2 linked regions of the Pelodiscus sinensis genome follow. The protein of the gene in region 1 purifies or fractionates together with the protein of each later gene. This does not show direct contact. Links are inferred from orthologs where the notes say so. Each region holds a gene or a part of one and is shown in the gene's direction. Other genes may lie near its edges.

Region 1 (9,411 bases):
CTTACACAGTGATAAAAAGGGTTTTTCATTACTGTAGTAAATCCATCTCCTTGTTTCCATTGACCAAGCTGTGTCTGCCATGGGTTAGGTTGATCTAATTAGGCTCCAAAGAATGTGACATTTTTCACTGCCCTGAACGAAGTAGCTAGGTCAGTCTGAGTTTTAGATGTCTCAGAGGAGTAGCCATGTTAGTCTCGAAGGCGCTATAGGACCATTCAATGTTTGTTAAGTATTTTTAGTTACAGACTAACCAAAAAATATAGGTGATATTATGAGCTTTGGTGAGTACAACCCACTTTTTCAGATGACAAATATGGAGCAAGGAGTACAAATATATAGCAGAAAAAGAGAGAAGAGGAGGAGAGGAAAAACCTGTCAATTAAAGTGTCTATGCTAAATAAGTCTAACAGAGTGGGCTGTGAGTGCCCGATACTTAACTTGGGATGTCATTTGGGTGTGGAATATAATGGCCCACCCAAGACAAGTCTTTGCTCAATCCTTGGGTGAATGTGTCAAATAACAAGGGTGGCAGGGTATGAAAACAGCGGCAAGTCATGTGTAGCAGTTCTACTCCGGGACTTTCATGTTCCCTGGGCCAAATTTTGATCTCACAGTGGTATAGATATGGAGCATGTCTAATAAAATCAAAGGAGTTAGTAACATCAGCTTATAACACTGGTGTAAGATCAGCAGCAGTTTGGTTGCATGTAGTGCATGCAATGGGGGGTTTAAAGGAGCATCGCATATGAAGAATTGACATGAATTTAGAGGAAAAATAACGGAGTGTATAAAAGGATAGGTTTTGGCTGTTAAGGGTGTGTGAGGTTTTCTAAATTAAGTCAGATACATACAGGTTTGCTGTTAACACAGAACTCAAGGCATTTTGAAACTTGAAAACTAAAGGAATATTCGTTAACTGCAGCAGACTGTTTACATGAAACTTTTGTTTGTCATCTTCAGGCAAATTTGTTACAGGGAAGAGAATTTAGGCATTACCTCACTGTATTCACATGTCAAATTCAGCCTCTCTAGATGAGCCGTGCAGAGTTTGGATTGGCACAAGCTCCTCAACAACACATTAGCCTTGTAGTCATGAAGCCACCAAGCTAACTTCAGACATTAAAATACTTTATTAAAGAGGCATGTTTTTATATGTACCAAGGTGGATTTGGATGAACGTAGGTACTTAGAAGATTAAAGCAGCCTGAAAAAGCCCTAGAGCTGTAGGCACTGCCCATGTAATGTACTATGTTCTAATCCTCATGTGTGCTCAGACAGGTAATTGTTTTTCATTATGTTTGGCATTTACCTGCCAATTCAATACCAATAAAATCTGAGCTGGGCCTGCTGCAGTAAAGGAACGTCAGGCAAGATCTGAAGCTGACATGCAGAGGGCAAAATAGTGCTCTCAGTTATGCACAGGGCATAACATTTTTCACAGCTCGGATGATGTATCTAGGTCAATATACGTTTTTGTTGTAGGCCAGGCCTATGAGCAGAATGTGGTCAGGACAGTTAGCCCTACATCACGGCTTATAAATTAATTCTACTTATTGTGGAAAAGTAATTACGGCATTCACTGTGTCCTGTTTACTCTTTTTGGTAACCATCATACTTTTATTCATGTACTTATTGCGGCATCTTCTGTGGGGTAAGGTCAGTGAGGACTGTCCTTCCATTGTTGCCAGCTACTCTTCTTGCCTTTGTGGGGTACTGGCATCGATGGGCGAGCACCTGGAGATTGATGTATTGCATCTGAGCAGATGTGATAAATCAATAACCAATGGATCAACCATTGTAGCATCAATCCCCAGCATAGTAGAGACAAGCCCTTAGATACTTATATAGCTCTCCACATTCCTGTAGTGCCTGAGCACTCTACACTCTTCAATGCATTTATCCTAATATTAATCCTGTCATAAGCCATTATTCCCAGTTGGGGGATGGGGAACTGTTAGATGGAGCCACTGACTTGGGAGAGATGAAACAATGGAAAAGGAAGAGATCTCCAATCTTCCTTAGGCACATGGAGGATTTACTGGGCACAATCATCATGGGTATGTCTACACTACCACCCTAGTTTGAACTAGGGTGGTTAATGTAGGCAACTGGAGTTGCAAATGAAGCCCGGGATTTGAATTTCCCGGGCTTCATTTGCATATTGCTGGGCGCCGCCAAAATGTCCACTAGTTCGGACTCCGTACCCGCGGCTACACGCGGCACGAACTAGGTAGCTCGGATTAGGTTTCCTATTCTGAACTACTGGTACACCTTGTTCCACGAGGAGTAACGGTAGTTCGGAATAGGAAGCCTAATCTGAACTACCTAGTTCGTGCCGCGTGTAGCCGCGGGCACGGAGTCCAAACTAGCGGACATTTAAAAATGGCGGCACCCGGCAATATGCAAATGAAGCCCGGGAAATTCAAATCCCGGGTTTCATTTGCAACTCCGGTTGCCTACATTAACCACCCTAGTTCAAACTAGGGTGGTAGTGTAGACATACCCCACATTACTCTAGGTGGGGAAAATTATGGCAAGATGTTTGCTTTCATCTTGTAATTTACTTGCTACCTCATTCTTATGGCCACCCCTGTGCAAAATGGTAAGAGGTCCCCTCCCCTCAGTACTCTGCCAAGTGGCGAATGGTACTCAGTCCTGTGTAGCCATGACACTGTCCTCATCAGCTGTTACTGCTGTTTCTTCCTCCATGCAGCTGGCTGTGATGTTCTCTGGTTTCTGGTGCTCCATCCAAAAAAGATCAAGAAGCCAGGAGATAGCTGATAGCTAGGGAAGAATGCTAAGGAATTCATTCTCTGCCATCACTAGCTGATGCTAATGTTAGATGATGTTGGGCCATTGAGGCTGAAACTCTGGCTGGCAGTTAGGTGTGCAAATGTGGTGAGTGGCCAGTGAAAATCCTGAGCCATATTCACAGCTTCATAGGTCTAAATATGCTACTGCTATGGTGAAATACTAATCATGAACTAATAACTGTACAAAGTATTTAACAAAATTATACCGAGCAAGTAAGATCTTGTAACTTCTGCAAATGTGCATTGCTTATAAAATTCCTTTCCTCTGCATTCTAGTCAGTTGCAAGCCTGGTCTCAATAATACATCTTATGTCACTTACATAGCAAGTTGATTTAGGCCCCACTCCAGCAAATAATTTAAGCATGTGCATAGCTTTAAATGTGAGGAGTTCTATTAAATTCTATGGACTGACTCGTGATTAAAGTTATGCATGTGCTCAGGTGCTTTGCTGGATCTGTATCTTTGAGACAACATAAAGTTTGGTCATGTGTTCACCTTCCCTCATTCATCTTAACTCCCGTATGTCCTTCTGAAAATCTGTAAATAACGATAGTAAAATAATAAAGATGTTAACACAAACATCTAAAAAAATATTGTGCTCCCTGCAAGCTGCTTACCTTTCCCCTTGTTTTCTGGTGTTTCCTTTCCAGCTCTACTCCATTCCACTGTCTGTTGTCATTTCCCCTTTTGTGCTTATCTATTTAGACTGTAAATGCCTGGAAGCCAGAACCTGCTTTCTTATTTATCTGCCCAGCACCATGCTCATCAGTGACTCTACATAAAGAAATAAACAAGCTGAGTGAAAGAAGAATTATACAAAGACCCCAAAGGTAGCAATGTAATTGCCATGACTACCTCATAAACAAGTAGGGTTGCCAGATATTTTCACAAAAAAATACTGAAAAAAATTGGTTGAGGAAAAAAAAGAAAAAGAAAAAGAAACCCCCAAACAAACAAAAAACAAACAAAAAAAACTGGGGGACCAGTATGTTCTGTTTTTTTTTTTTTACTGGACAGAGTCCACAAATACCAGACACCTGGCAACCCTATAAACAAGTGCCCCCCAAGTCAATAATAAATACCTTTACTTTTTAATTTCAAATGACAACATCAGCAAGCATGACAGTTCAGTTATAAATATAGGGAGGAATCTATAGCAACATTAGAAGATCAACAAAAACAATTAGAGGTCTAGAGAAAATATGACCTATATCTGAGGAAAGTCAAAAAGAATTGGATTTGTTTAGTTTGGAAAAGAGAATACTGAGAGATGACATGATAGCAGCTTTCAAATATTTAAAAAGGTGCTATAAGGAGGAGGGAGAAAAAAATAGGTCCAAATCCAGGCAAGCCAGGGGCTACATCCAAACCCCAGGCCTCAGATTCCACACCCCTAATCTAGATAGAGGTAGGTCCTGCCATGAGGGCAGGGAACTGGACTTGACCTTTTGAGGTCCCTTCCAGTTCTAGTATTCTATGATTAAAGGTACTCCTACTTGAGTGAAAGCCTTACAGTACAACTGTTGAAACTATTCCTTGTAACTAGTTAATGCTATCAGAATGCTATAGATCACTTTTAGTTTTTTTAACAATGAAAGAAACAAAGCCAGCACCCTGAAGAAGCATGCATAGTATGCAAGAGCAAACACATGCTTCCATTGTTGCAACCTTTGTTCTCTCTCCTCCCCCCATTCTTTGTAGCCTTCTCTCTTTGTTACTTCTTATCTTCTAGTTAGTAGGCTCTTTAAACCCTTTCTTAAGTACATAGTATTCATTCAGGCAAACATTACCTTTTACTTCACTGGGACTAAGGAGTGAACGGTTTCAGGGGTGGAGAACCTCAGGCCTTGTAGCCAGATGCTCCCCCCCCCCCACTTGCCTGGATCCTGCTCCCCTCAGGGCTGGAGCACACAAAATCTACTAAGCTTGGCCTCCCAAGATTCTGGTGTGCAAGGGGAATGTCTTTCTCCTTCTGAGTTGGCAGCCACTGTCAGTGAGGGTTTTGTTTTTGTTTCTCACTTGTGTGCTGCCCCTGACTGATTTTTGTGTGGGTCAGTGACCCCCAAACCCAAAAAAGTCCCCCACCTCTAACTTTACAGGCTTATGCAAGACCTTGATCCTGGAAAGACCTATACATATTACAAGTTGCATCGACTTCAGTATGTACTAGCACATGCCTAAATCCATGTCCCAGGTCCCCAAAAGATGTATTGTCTTTTGGCTGAGACAATACTGGGTTTTATTTGTAAAGTGCCATACACAACAACAGCACTGTATACACCAATCAATGAATAAATCAACACAGAACTACAACAAAGAAGTCAAACAGATGAATATGACCGATGGTGATGAAAATATTTTTGGGGGAGGGGCGGGGGGAGAGAGGTTTTGTCCTGTTCTGTTTAAAAGCCAGAGGGCTGCGAGTTATATACTAAGTTCACTTCCAATCACAGACAATGAGTCCGATTCCCAAAGCTATTTAACTGCCCAACTTCTGCTGATTTCACTTGAGTGGCCCCTGTTTGCAATGAACAGCAACCTACTGTATGACCTTCTGCCCCCCGCCGCAAGAATGCAGCCACCTATGTGTAACGCAGCCTGTAGGGGTCACTGTCACAAGTGAAAGTTGCCCTGATGCCGAAGAGGATCCTAACCCAGCCCCCGCTGCCAGCTTCTTCCCCCAGCCAGAATTCCTCCAAGAGGCTGGGCTGCCTTCCAGCTGGTCTGCCCGCCCTGTGCATTGTGGGACTCGTAGTCCTCTCCGGCGCAGGCTTGCTTGGCGCTAGGGGGAGGCGGGACTACAAGTCCTACAAGGCCCGCGGGGCAGCTGGCGCTGGCCGTTCCTTTTGAATGATTTCACTGCGCTGTGCCTGCCCAGCGCGTTTCGCAGCAGCCTGCCGGAGGAGGCAGGGAGCATGGTGTAAGGGCCGGGCGGGGAGGGGGCTGCCGCCGGGGACGAGAGCCGCCAGCCTAGCGCCCAGCCCGGTTCATGGCAGCCGGGGGAGCTGGCAGCGCCGCAGCGGGGCCAAGTTGTGCTGGCGCAGGGCGGCCCATGGCAGCCCAGCGGCTGCGGGGCTGGTAAGGGCGCTGCGTCCGTCCCCTCACTGCCCGGCTCGCCCCGCAGCCCCCCTCGCTGCGCTGCCCCGTCGGACGGGGCTGGGAGGCGCCGCGCCCGGCCGGCCGAGATGGCTCTGGCCACGGAGGAGGAGGAGTACGCCAAGCTGGTGATGGAGTCGGAGCCCGAGTGGCTGCGGAGCGAGCTCAAGCGGCTCTCGCAGGAGCTGGGCGAGACCACCCGGGAGAAGATCCAGGCGGCGGAGTACGGGCTGGCCGTGCTGGAGGAGAAGCAGCAGCTCAAGCAGCAGTACGAGGAGCTGGAGGCGGAGTACGAGACCATCCGCTCGGAGATGGAGCAGCTGAAGGAGGTGAGCCGCGGGGTGGTGGCCCGGGGTGACACGCCGGGAGTGGGCAAGGCAGGGAGCGCGGCGCAGCGGCCGCAGCACTGTGTGACTTTGGGGGGGGTCCCCTCCGCCTTGGGGGTCCCCTCAAGGTAAAGCCGCTGCGGAGCCTGGAGTGGCTCCTGGGGCGTGGTCCTCCCCCCCCCCAAAGGCACGCAGGACCGATGATGCACCCGCAGGGCTGCGGCAAGGACTGGCTGATCGCTGCCTGCCACGCAGCGGTGGAGATATGGCGGGGGCGTAGGGGATGCATCGCTCCTGGGAGCTGCTCTGGCCGGTCTGGGCGCGCGGGTGGATGTGATTCCCCCTCCCCGCGAAGTTTGGCTTCAGCTCTCGCTGGGCAGCAGCTGCGGGCTGCATCTTCCAACTGGGCTGGAGCGCAGCATCCTGCCCAGTGCGGTGTCACGGCCAGATCCGGCATCATCACGCTCATCACTGCTGGCGTAATGCTGGGCAGCCCTTTAAAGGGACAGCTCGGCAATTCCTCTAAGACCCTCTGCCCTTCCCATGACATCTGCTGTGTCTTCGCTCAGCTGGGCGCCAGGCACAGGAAAGCGGATACTTGAGGCTAATGCGCTGGAGATCAAGTGCCAGTCTGGGACTGAGTGTGCTCCGTGCAGGGGGAAAGGAATAATGGAAGTGACCGTAATTCTGTTCTTTGCTGCATAATGGTACACAGCCCAGGGCTCCCACAAAGCACCTCTTACATGAACCCAGTTCCCTGACTGTGAGGTGCAATTTGATATTGGAATCAATTTTTTCTCTCAACTTTCCCATCCCCCAGATATACACTGTTTTGTGAATTGCATTATTTCAATCTGGTTGTTTATAAACGGGATAAATATGGGGAGTGAACTATGAGTTACATTAAATAGATTTCCCCACCTAAGTACAAAGCTTTAAAATAGTATTTTATTTTAAAGCAGAAAATTTGTTGAGAGATAACTGTTAGGAGCAGGCCTTCTTATAATAGGTTGAATAATTGATATTGAAATATTGGCTACTGAGCATTCCGAGGATCCTTTCTGCACAGTGCTGAGGGGTCTCTAATAAGTTATCCTTATAAGAAACAGTCTGTAAAGACCAGCAAAGGAATGAATGGCTCTGCATGTGTAGAAATGCCATACTCGGTGCCAAAGATCCACCTACTGCTGAGCCGTTTGACACACTGTGTCAGCCATCCATGTTAGAGCTTTAATGGGACATGGAGCTTCCTGGCAACAGAGCCAAAAGTGCAGAAATAAAATAATTGGCCTTTTGAGCATTAAAGTGTAAAGCAGAGGCGTGTCAGCATTAACTTGGAAATTCCTCGTTGTTGCTGGATTGCCTTAGGGCCAAGTGCAGGCCCCTAGCTTTGAAGTTCCTCACCTCACAAGTGAATGGGTCAGGGGGAGCTCTCACTTTTCCTACTGCTAATTGTTCCAGGCCCTGGAGATCATCTTCTGCAACAGTAGACTGAAGGGAAAACTTCACTTGGCATGGTGATTATAGGGTAATTACAGTGAGGTTTACTTCTTCTCCCCTATCACTCAACTAGGGGTGGGGACAGGTAAATATGCTCCTCAACCCCCCAGGCTCTGTAAACAAAGGCTGGGGAGTCCCTTAATCTTCAGCCAGCAGTGAAGAGACAAAGCACTTCTTTCCATGAGTCCAGGAGTGTTGCTCTTCATCTGTCCATGTTACAGGATGCCCGTGAGGGCAGAGAGCAGCTGTGTTCACCTATTCCTCTGGCCCGCTCAGCACCAAAGATCTAATCCTCCACAGGGTGAAAATGGAAGAGCAGAGGAGTGGAAGAGAACCAGAGAGCTATGGGAGGGCGGGCCTAGGCTGAAGTGGCATAGGCTCAGATCACATGGAGAAGCGGAGGAACTGTAAGAGGCTGGAGATCCAAGAGTGGAAAAACAGGGCTTGAGCGACCAGAACTCCTGTTGAGGGGGGACCAGGTACCTAGGAGAGTAGGGATCGAGCTCCTGCAGAAAGGATTTCTCAGTGCTCATTTGAAAGTATGGAGTTCCTGGGGATGTAGAGGGAATGAGGTGGAAGGGCATATGATGCAATGCAGGGCAGTGAGGAAGAGCATACAGATGCTCTTGTCTGTGGCCAGACTGTATTGGGCTATCTCTCTCTCACAGGGTCCTAGAGCCAGAGCCCAGGCCCCAGCCTGGAAGTCTGCTAAGCAATGAAATGCCTGTCAGCCTGAGCCCCATGAGCCTGAGTCAGCTGGCATAGGCCAGCTAAGGGTTTGTCATTGCAGTGTAGCCATACCCAAATTTGTTTCTGTGCAGGTCTGAGCTTGTTTAAAGCAAACCCCAACTTAAGCTTTTTCCCATCAATAGGATTGTTCAGTCTCTTCATATCTCAGTCTCCTCCACCCTTGGCTCTTTTGTCCCTCTCTCCCATTGTAAGGTCTGTCCTTGCAACCCCTGGCCCTGGCTCACCTTCAACATCTGCTTCCCTCTTTCCTGCTGCTCAGTCTCTGACAATCCCATGACCAGATGGCTTATTTCCTTGTGCTCCCATCAGTCTCTCTTCATTCGTCTGTTATTGCTTGCCTTGTACTTGAATCTGGAGTTTACCTAGAACTTAGGAAAACCTAGTGATATTGTTCAGGGCTGTGAAAAATTTCACATGCTGAGTGCTTTAGTCAGGATCACCTAGCCCCCCATTTAGACATAGCTAGGAGTGATGGAAGGATTCTTCTGGTAATCTAGCTGTCACCCAGCTTGGAAAGGTGGGTTGCCATTACCTGTGTTGCTGGAAAAATTCCGACACAGCCAGCCATGGTGTTGCCATAGCATTGTATTGCAGACAGACCCGGAGACTGTAAGTTGTTTGCGGCGTTACCTGACAGGTTAACTGGTTATCCAGTTAACTACCAAACATTATTCGTAATGATTACTGATTTTGGGCTGGAGCAGCTCCACTGTCTGCCACAGGCGTCTGGAGCAGCTTCTGTCTGTGGCAGGCTCAGGCGCCCTGAAGACAGTAACTGCTCTGGAGGGGGCTGAGAGCCCCATGGGCTAAGCTGCTACTGCAGCCATGCTGGAACAGACCCCAGCCCAGATCCTACGTTAGTCAGTTAATGGGTTAAACATTAGGCTAGCCTGACTGGTTAACTGATCAACTGGGATTTTATATC
Region 2 (9,462 bases), on another chromosome or scaffold:
CGAGCCCCCGATGGGGAGGACTGGGCTGGCTCTGCGGGCTTCTGGGGGTGGAAGCTCTCCTGCAGCCCCCCAATTGCCCCCTCTCCCCAGATGGCAGCCTGCGGCAAGTGCAGCCGGGCTGATGGCCGAGTGGTGTGATGTGCCCAGTGTGGGTACTCCGGGCACTCCAAGCCAGAACTTCTTTGCAAGTGGGGCACCCCTTAGAACTGTGTGTCCGGGGTGGGGGTCGGGACCCTTTAAGCGCAGCCCTCGGCTAGCCTGAGACAGCATCTCCATGCTCTAAGTCCTCCTCTTATGCCCTGCCGGCACTGCTTCCGGCCATCCTTAAGCCCTGTTCAGAGTCCACTCAATGTGGACTTGCTAGTTCGAATTAGCAAAACGCTAATTCGAACTAGTTTTTAGTTCTAGACGCGTTAGTTCGAATTAGCTTAGTTCGAACTAGCGCTGTAGTGTAGACGTACCCTAAGGGCTTAACATATAACTTAATGTGTAATATGTATATATGAAGTTATGATGTTAAGGCCTTGTAGACAGAGACTGATTATGTGTTATAATCTTACATATTATCCTCCCATGCATCCTGCAGTGATTATGGTGACCATTATATCACTGGCTTTTGTTAGAGATCTCACATGACACTTTTTGTAGCACTAATATATAAACACGAGACTCGAGGATCATTGTAACCTCGTGCCCTCTCCCATATAGCATAAAGAGGTTGTTGGGTCAACTGTTGCTGTGTATCACATTGTTTATCATAATAACCTAATGTGATTTTTTTTCATTAATATTTAGTATTTCAACAAACTACAGTAATAAACTGTAAAAAAGATTGTCAAATTATTATTCATTTTAAAATATAGTTGTATATGGACTTCATAAATATAAGAAACAATCAAATGTTGGACCTTCCACACATGACCGTATCATTTATATTTTACAAGTGTGCATGTGATAGAGAATGGGATATAGACAGACATTGGGGCTACGTCTACACTGGCCCCTTTTCCGGAAGGGGCATGTAAATTTCACTAGTCGTCGTAGGGAAATCCGCGGGGGATTTAAATATCCCCCGCGGCATTTAAATAAAAATGTCCGCCGCTTTTTTCCGGCTTTTAAAAAAGCCGGAAAAGAGCGTCTACACTGGCCCCGATCCTCCGGAAAAAGCGCCCTTTTCCGGAGGCTCTTATTCCTACTTTGAAGTAGGAATAAGAGCCTCCGGAAAAGGGCGCTTTTTCCGGAGGATCGGGGCCAGTGTAGACGCTCTTTTCCGGCTTTTTTAAAAGCGGGAAAAAAGCGGCGGACATTTTTATTTAAATGCCGCGGGGGATATTTAAATCCCCCGCGGATTTCCCTACGACGACTGCTGAAATTTACATGTCCCTTCCGGAAAAGGGGCCAGTGTAGACGTAGCCTGGAGGTTTAATCATTTTATTACAGTGCATTTTTTTACATTATATTTACATATGCTTTGGCCAAGCTTGTACCTAAATCTCAGATTTGTGTGACAAAGGGAATGAGAAGTGTTTTAATATACTGGCTATTATTCATATTTCTGTCATTGCCCTCTTTTGGATGGAGTACAACATCTCAGATCTCTCAAGTTGAGGTGGGAGAGGTCCAGGTTGGATATTAGGAAAAACTATTTTACTAGGAGAGTGGTGAAGCACTGGAATAGGTTACCTAGGGAAGTAGTGGAGTCTCCATCCCTAGAGATTTTTAAGTCTCAGCTTGACAAAGCCCTGGCTGGGTTGATTTAGTTGGGACTGGTCCTGCCTAGGGCAGGGGGCTGGACTTGATGACCTTCTGAGGTCTCTTCCAGCTCTATGGTTCTATGATTCATCCATTTCTGAAGATTCATTATCTTGCTTCAAAATGCTGACCTAAAAATACATTTAAAGGCCTAAAACCACTGCTGTTTGAACTCAGAAGTCGAGAAATTTAGAATTCAGGGAACTTTAAGAACCTGGCATCTCTCCTATTGCATAGTCACCTTAGACATCATTAATTATTTAGCTAAATGATTGTCTAATATCACATGGCTGAACATAACTACTTGCAAAATTTTACAGGTATTAATTAAAAGTGAAGATACAGAATTGGGACAGACTGTGGGTGATGATGAAAAATGTATTGTTTGTTATGAATTGATGCTGAAATAGATATTATTAATAATGTTTTCTTGACTCTCCTTTAGAGCTTGTAGTCTAAATTAGATCATGAATTCAACAAAAATGACAAGCCATATTGTGCAGAGGTAGAGAAGGTAAGAAATCAGAGAGCACAAGGAGTAGAGGGCTCACTGCGTTGATTAATTTTACAGGTTTCTGACTGGTTCCTAGGTTTGGTAATTCCCAGGAGCACCCCTAAAGTACCTTTGTAAAGATAGGCACAACAACAACATTTATTTCTCTCCATCCCTCAATATAATAGCTGTTTTATTATACATAAGCAATTTTATTCTTAAAGTTCCTTTCAAAATTTTGTATGATAGACTCCTATAGGGGTATGTCTACACTACCCTCCTATTTCGAAATAGGAGGGTAATGTAGGCATACCGCAATTGCAAATGAAGCCCGGGATTTGAATTTCCCGGGCTTCATTTGCATAAGCCGGGTGCTGCCATTTTTAAATCCCGGCTGGTTCGAACCCCGTGCCGCGCAGCTACACGCGGCACGAACTAGGTAGGCATTCCACGAGGAGTAACGGTAGTTCGTGCCGCGTGTAGCCGTGTGGCACGGGGTTCGAACCAGCCGGGATTTAAAAATGGCGGCACTCGGCGTATGCAAATTGCGGTATGCCTACATTACCCCGCTAATTTGAACTAGCGGGGTAGTGTAGACATACCCCTACTGACTTCACTGGCAACCTGTTGCTATTTATTAATTTGTTTTCTTCTGTACCTTCCCTTTTGACATTGAATTGTGGCATCGTTAGGATAGAGTAAGTGTCATCTAACAATGAAGCTATAGACTTGATGTAACCACTTCCTATTCCAAGGCTATGTCAACACAGCAGCATTATTTTGGAATAACTTATGCTATTCCAAAATAACATAGTCTGCATCTACACACAAGCAATTATTTAGACATAATGTAGAAATAATGTTGAGCTGGAGGACTTCTTACTCCGACTCCTGTAACCCTCATTGTATGAGGAGGAAGGGAAGTTGGGGGAAGAGTACTCTATTTTGAAATAACTGCTGTGTAGACGGCACCAAAAGTTGAAATAAATTATTTTGACTTAAGCTACACAATTAGCTAGTTTAGCTCTGCTGTGTAGATGTGCCCCAACTGACCTGGATGTAGCACATGTCCCTATGCTGAAGCACAGGGGTAGGACATATAAAAAAGTGCATCTCTATGGGGATTGAGGGGCTACGTCTAGACTACATCCCTTTTTCGTAAAAGGGATGTAAATTAGACGTATCACAATTGCTAATGAAGCGGGGATTTAAATCTCCCATGCTTCATTAGCATAAAAATGGCTGCTGCTTTTTTTCGGCAAGGAGCTTTGCCGGAGAAAAGCGCCAGTCTAAACGCTGATGTTTCGGGAAATAAAGCCTTTTCTGAAAGATCCCTTATCCCTCTTGAAATAAGGGATAAGAGATCTTTTGTAAAAGGCTTTATTTTCTGAAAGATCAGCATCTAGACTGGTGCTTTTCTCTGGCAAAGCTCCGTGCCAAAAAAAAAGCGGCAGCCATTTTTTTGCTAATGAAGCACTGGAGATTTAAATCCCCGCTTCATTAGCAATTGCGATACATCTAATTTACATCCCTTTTACGAAAATGGGATGTAGTCTATACGTAGCCAGGGTGTATTGTGGTTTTAAGGAAGTGTGGTGTGAGCAATTGCTGAAACATGGAATTGTATTAATTTGTAACAAATATAATGGCATTTCAAAAAAATATATAACAGCATTTAGGTTAATAATGTATCATGTATCTTTTGAAATGGCCAGTAAAGTGTCACTAAACACTACATCTTTGACCTGGAAGACCAAAGAGTGTGGACTTGGTTTTCCTGTTTTTGACAAATGCCTAATACATCTTCAGTGTTACCATAATAACAATAAAAGTAGACAGATATTTCTCTACTGCTATCATGATGAAATGGTCTGGCTTTGTCCATTCAGGAACATGGCATGACAGTAAAAGACCACTTTGACCCTATTCCTGGACAGCTTCTGAAGAAGGAAGCAGCAAAAAGGGTTCTGCTCTTCAGATGGTGTCTCAAGTTGAACACCCCAAAATTGAGGCACCTCAGCTTGGTACTTATATTTCATATCTTAACTAAAGCCTATTTCCAGGTCTTCCTGTCCAAGGCACAATAGCTTTTAGGAGAACTTAAAGGAAAGAGAGAATCTGTGGGGTGTGTGATATTTGCTACCTTGCTCCAATTGGGGACCACTGTGCCTTCAACAGCAACTGGCCTACCTCAGTCCCTCTGCAAAGCTTTGTTTTTGTAGGTGAGGTTTGTGATTTGGTGCAGCCCAGCTGAATGTGACTAACTAGTAGGGGGCACGGTGAGCCTCTGATGCCTTTGTGCTGGGGTCTGGATGTGGACATTCTTCAAGCTGTGTGCCAGATGCAGCAAATTCTTCTGCCCCATTTGCCCTTGTGCCTTTGTATTGTAGGGCAAACATATGTTCTTTTGAGTTTCCTGTAATATTTGGGGTCACTGACAGGATGTGCCCCTTCCCAATGACACAGGCTGGGTGTGGCCTAACTCTCCTGCTTTGAAATGGTGGGCAGCCCTGGTGCCTGTCATAGGCATGACTAATGGGGCCTTTCCACTCAAGTTGCAGACTAGGTGTCCCTGTGTCAGCCTGGATGTGACTTGTGCTACTGACTCGAGCAGCACAAATGACCCTGATGCTCCTGAATGTGACACTTTCCCCGGTCCCTTTTGCCCTCCGCCCCCCCCCCCCCCCCGAGTCCCTAGCGCCAGGGCCTGGCAGGGATAGCTACCGCCCCCTCCCGCCGCCCCCCGTGAGTGTGTCTCGGGGAGGGGCTGCCTCTCTCGCTGAAGATGCGCGGGGCTGGGCTGCAGGGAGGCGGGGAGATGTCAGTGCCAGGGGCGAGGAGGAGGAGGGAAGCGGCGGTGCCCGGGAGGAGCTTGGCCAGCGCGAGGCAGCGCATTTCCCCAGCCGCAGCAGCAGCGATCACGCTGCAGAGAGGGGCACCACCACACAGCGCAGCGGCAGCAGCCATTGGGGAGTCAACCTGCCGGGGAGCGCCGGGCTCTGTCCACCTCCTCCCAGCTGCCCTGGCCGGGGAGCGCTGCGCCGAACCGCTCCACAGCTGCCCGGGAGCCCAGCAAGGTAAAGCCTGTGGAGGGAGGCGCGTGTCTCTGGGGGTACCACCCGCAGCGTCACCTGCCCGAGCCTGGTGCTCTGAGGTGGGGAAGGACGCGCCCGGGATGCCGAGTGTAAAAGCTGGCAGGGGGCAGGGGGCCGAGAAACGCTCTCTCTTTGCTCGGCTTTTCTAGCACTGGAGAAAGCAGCCAGCCTGCATGGAAAAGGGCGGGGAAGACAGGCACTGAAAACGCCCCCCCCCCCATAGGAAACAGCTCGGGACCGCTCTGCGGTTGCTGACAGGATGCAAAGTGCTCTGGTGACCGCAGCTGAGTGACGCTCTCCTAAATCGGAGGGTCCTCGCTCCGTCTGGACAAAGCCCGGCACCTTTCAAACTAGAGAGACCAGACCTGCTAGCGGGGGGATGCACTAGCTGGCCTCCCAGAGCGTTTCACCAGCCCTCTCGCCTGTCTCCCTGGTCTCGTCCCAGTTTACAGCCATGCCCATTCCTATTAGTGCATCGTCAGAGCAGGTGCCTCCTACTAGGCGGGGTGGGGTGGAGAGGAGAGGAGAGGCTATGGTGCTTGGTTTTCGTGTCAGCTCTGAAGAGGTTAAATCAAAGCCGGTTCCTGTGTTTAATTTCCTGTTTAATAAAAGCAACCACGGACTTACTTAAATCCACCTCGGCCTGCAGAATTAATATTCAATCTTCCCTTATCGCTAGTTTCACAGCAGGGTTAATAAAGGATGGACTGAGAGGCCATTTTCCTATGATTAGTGAGTTTAAATCAATTTCTCAATAAAATGCTTTTATAGCTATGTCCATCCTCTGCCCGGAATTCCCTAAGATCAGCAGTGATAGAAATGTAGCCCTGTTAGTCTGGTGTAGCTGAAGATCAGTAGGCACCATATATATTATTGATTGGAAAAGCATAGATATAACAAATGTGCCATGCAGTAATACTCTATCCAGAACCCTCTCAAAAGACAAGAAACCCACACTTTTAAATTATCTCAGGCCTTGCCCTGGTATGAAAGCCATTTTTTCCCTGTGCCTTGGATTCATTTTCATTTACCAGTATCACTTTTAAGATCCAGTGTGGAAAACCAGACTGAAGTAGCATATGATTGGTTAATATTAATACAGAGTCAAGATCTTCTACCTTCAATACTTTATGGCCTATAGAATCTAAACAGATCAAAATATTGTAACCTAATGCATACTAGGGATGTAGTGGAAAGGCCTGACATGTGCTAGGCTTTGGACACTTGCACCTAGTAATTTATCTTGACGATCTTTTTCTTAGATTTCCTTTACATGTGAGGAAACAAAATGACCTAGAGAACAGGCTCAACTTTTCTATAGTGCAATTCACCCTTTGTCAGGGGTGAAAATGTTACCAATGCTACTGGATGGATTTCTGTCATTGTTATTCACCTGTTTCTAACATGCCACCTTTTTAAGAAAATGGGATATGCTCCTTCCAGAGGCGGCACCTTCCAAATCTTACTTACTCACTTTTAATTGCCCTTTCATGCTCAGAAGTCCAAACAGGAACACCTTTCACCCTGCCCCCAAAATCCTCAACGGGGAGCAATAAAGCTCAGTGCTGTTCCTCTGAGCCTGAGCAAGAGTGGGTTACTCAATCACAATTTGGAGTGTCAGCTCCCCCAAGGGCTGAAATTCTGCCTCGGGGAGCATCTGCTGTGCTCCCAAGGGAACAAGCTCATACCCAGATCCAGCATGTTACCCCTGGATCATGGGGGCTGTCCTCACTGCATACATTTTTCACCATTTAAAAAGCCAAACTTCTCAGTGGAGTTCTACCTCTGTGACACATTCCCTTCCACTTCCCTTCAACCCATAAAAGTGTCCCAGGAGGGCTCTGTGGAGTGTAGAGAGAAGCACACGGTGGGACCAGCTGCTTTCCTGTGGACTCTACTGCACATAAAGAGTAGTAGACACCAACACAAGTTAATATAGCCTGAATCTGAATTACCTTTCCTGCTTTCCTCCCCAAACTGTGAGAACCTGCTTTCTAAGGACAGCTGCAGTAGAGAGAGACCCAGGAAGAGGTGGGGTTACAATGGCTGTGGGAAAATGGTAGCTGGGTGGTAAAAGTGTAGGTGCACTCAAGCTTGTGTAGATCTTCATGATACGACTGACCTTAGAAGTAGATGCTGATATTTGAGGTATCAGCATTGAGTATGTTGAGGAAATACCCTCGACATGAATGGAGCAGGTCACACTTGTCAGATCTATTGTTTCAGGCTCTCTGCTAATGCAGTCAGGCTGGCACTTCTTTTACATTTTCAAGGGTTTCTTTGCAAACACCGAGAGATGGGACTGTGGAGGGAAACTTAGCCAAGGTCTGCACTAGGAGTCAGAGGTGACATGTGGGGTGAACAGATGGGGTCACTTGCCCCTCCAGATTTCTGCCTTCCATTTGGCCTTGCTACCTGAAGGGCTGTTGTAGCAGGGCAGATTCCACTCAGGCACCTGCCACTTCTAGGTGCAGGCGGGTTCAGCCCACTTGACTCCTAACAACTCAGTGCCTTCCCTTCTCTGTGTTCTCTAGTGGAACATGAAGCAGCTGGTCAAATGGGACTGTAGAATCATAGAATCATAGAATCATAGGACTGGAAGGGACCTCGAGAGGTCATCGAGTCCAGCCCCCTGCCCTCAAGGCAGGATCAAGCTCCGTCTACACCATCCCTGACAGATGTCTATCTAACCTGTTCTTAAATATCTCCAGAGAGGGAGATTCCACCACCTCCCTTGGCAATTTATTCCAATATTTGACCACCCTGACAGTTAGGAATTTTTTCCTAATGTCCAATCTAAACCTCCCCTGCTGCACTTTAAGCCCATTACTCCTTGTCCTGTCCTCAGAAACCAAGAGGAACAAATTTTCTCCTTCCTCCTTGTGACACCCTTTTAGATATTTGAAAACCGCTATCATGTCCCCCCTTAATCTTCTTTTTTCCAAACTAAACAAGCCCAGTTCATGAAGCCTGGCTTCATAGGTCATGTTCTCTAAACCTTTAATCATTCTTGTCGCTCTTCTCTGTACCCTTTCCAATTTCTCCACATCTTTCTTGAAATGTGGCGCCCAGAACTGGACACAGTACTCCAGCTGAGGCCTAACTAGTGCAGAGTAGAGCGGCAGAATGACTTCACGAGTTTTGCTTACAACACACCTGTTAATACAACCTAGAATCATATTTGCTTTTTTTGCAACAGCATCACACTGTTGACTCATATTCAACTTGTGGTCCACTATGACCCCTAGATCCCTTTCTGCCATGCTCCTTCCTAGACAGTCGCTTCCCATCTTGTATGTATGGAACTGATTGTTCCTTCCTAAGTGGAGCACTTTGCATTTCTCTCTATTAAACCTCATCCTGTTTACCTCCGACCATTTCTCTAACTTGCTAAGGTCATTCTGAATTATGTCCCTATCCTCCAAAGAAGTCGCAACCCCACCCAGTTTGGTATCATCTGCAAACTTAATAAGCGTACTCTCTATCCCAATATCTACATCATTGATGAAGATATTGAACAGTATGGGTCCCAAAACAGACCCTTGAGGAACTCCACTTGTTATCCCTTTCCAGCAGGATTTAGAACCGTTAACAACCACTCTCTGACTACGGTTATCCAGCCAATTATGCACCCACCTTATCGTGGCCCTATCTAAGTTATATTTGCCTAGTTTATCAATAAGAATATCATGCGAGACCGTATCAAATGCCTTACTAAAGTCTAGGTATATGACATCCACCGCTTCTCCCTTATCCACAAGGCTCGTTATCTTATCAAAGAAAGCTATCAGATTAGTTTGGCATGACTTGTTCTTCACAAGCCCATGCTGGCTATTCCCTATCACTTTATTACCTTCCAAGTGTTTGCATATGATTTCCTTAATTACCTGCTCCATTATCTTCCCTGGGACAGACGTTAAACTGACCGGTCTATAGTTTCCTGGGTTGTTCTTATTCCCCTTTTTATAGATGGGCACAATATTTGCCCTTTTCCAGTCTTCTGGAATCTCCCCTGTCTGCCACGATTTTTCAAAGATCATAGCTAAAGGCTCAGATACCTCCTCTATCAGCTCCTTGAGTATCCTGGGATGCATTTCATCAGGACCTGGTGACTTGCTGACA

The links.
Region 2: the proteins of BICD2 (region 1) and DYNC1I1 purify together in Homo sapiens (affinity purification with western blotting; 4 studies listed by BioGRID and IntAct, with this or other methods). This does not show direct contact. The link is inferred for Pelodiscus sinensis from reciprocal best matches to the Homo sapiens genes BICD2 and DYNC1I1.

The regions. Positions count from the first base shown.
Region 1 is NC_134721.1:31,013,528-31,022,938, forward strand, and holds the start of BICD2 (protein bicaudal D homolog 2), read left to right. Parts: upstream 1-5,619; 5' UTR 5,620-5,999; coding exon 6,000-6,239; intron 6,240-9,411. UniProt on the Homo sapiens protein: Acts as an adapter protein linking the dynein motor complex to various cargos and converts dynein from a non-processive to a highly processive motor in the presence of dynactin.
Region 2 is NC_134712.1:211,286,325-211,295,786, reverse strand, and holds the start of DYNC1I1 (cytoplasmic dynein 1 intermediate chain 1), read left to right. Parts: upstream 1-5,189; 5' UTR 5,190-5,322; intron 5,323-9,462. UniProt on the Homo sapiens protein: Acts as one of several non-catalytic accessory components of the cytoplasmic dynein 1 complex that are thought to be involved in linking dynein to cargos and to adapter proteins that regulate dynein function.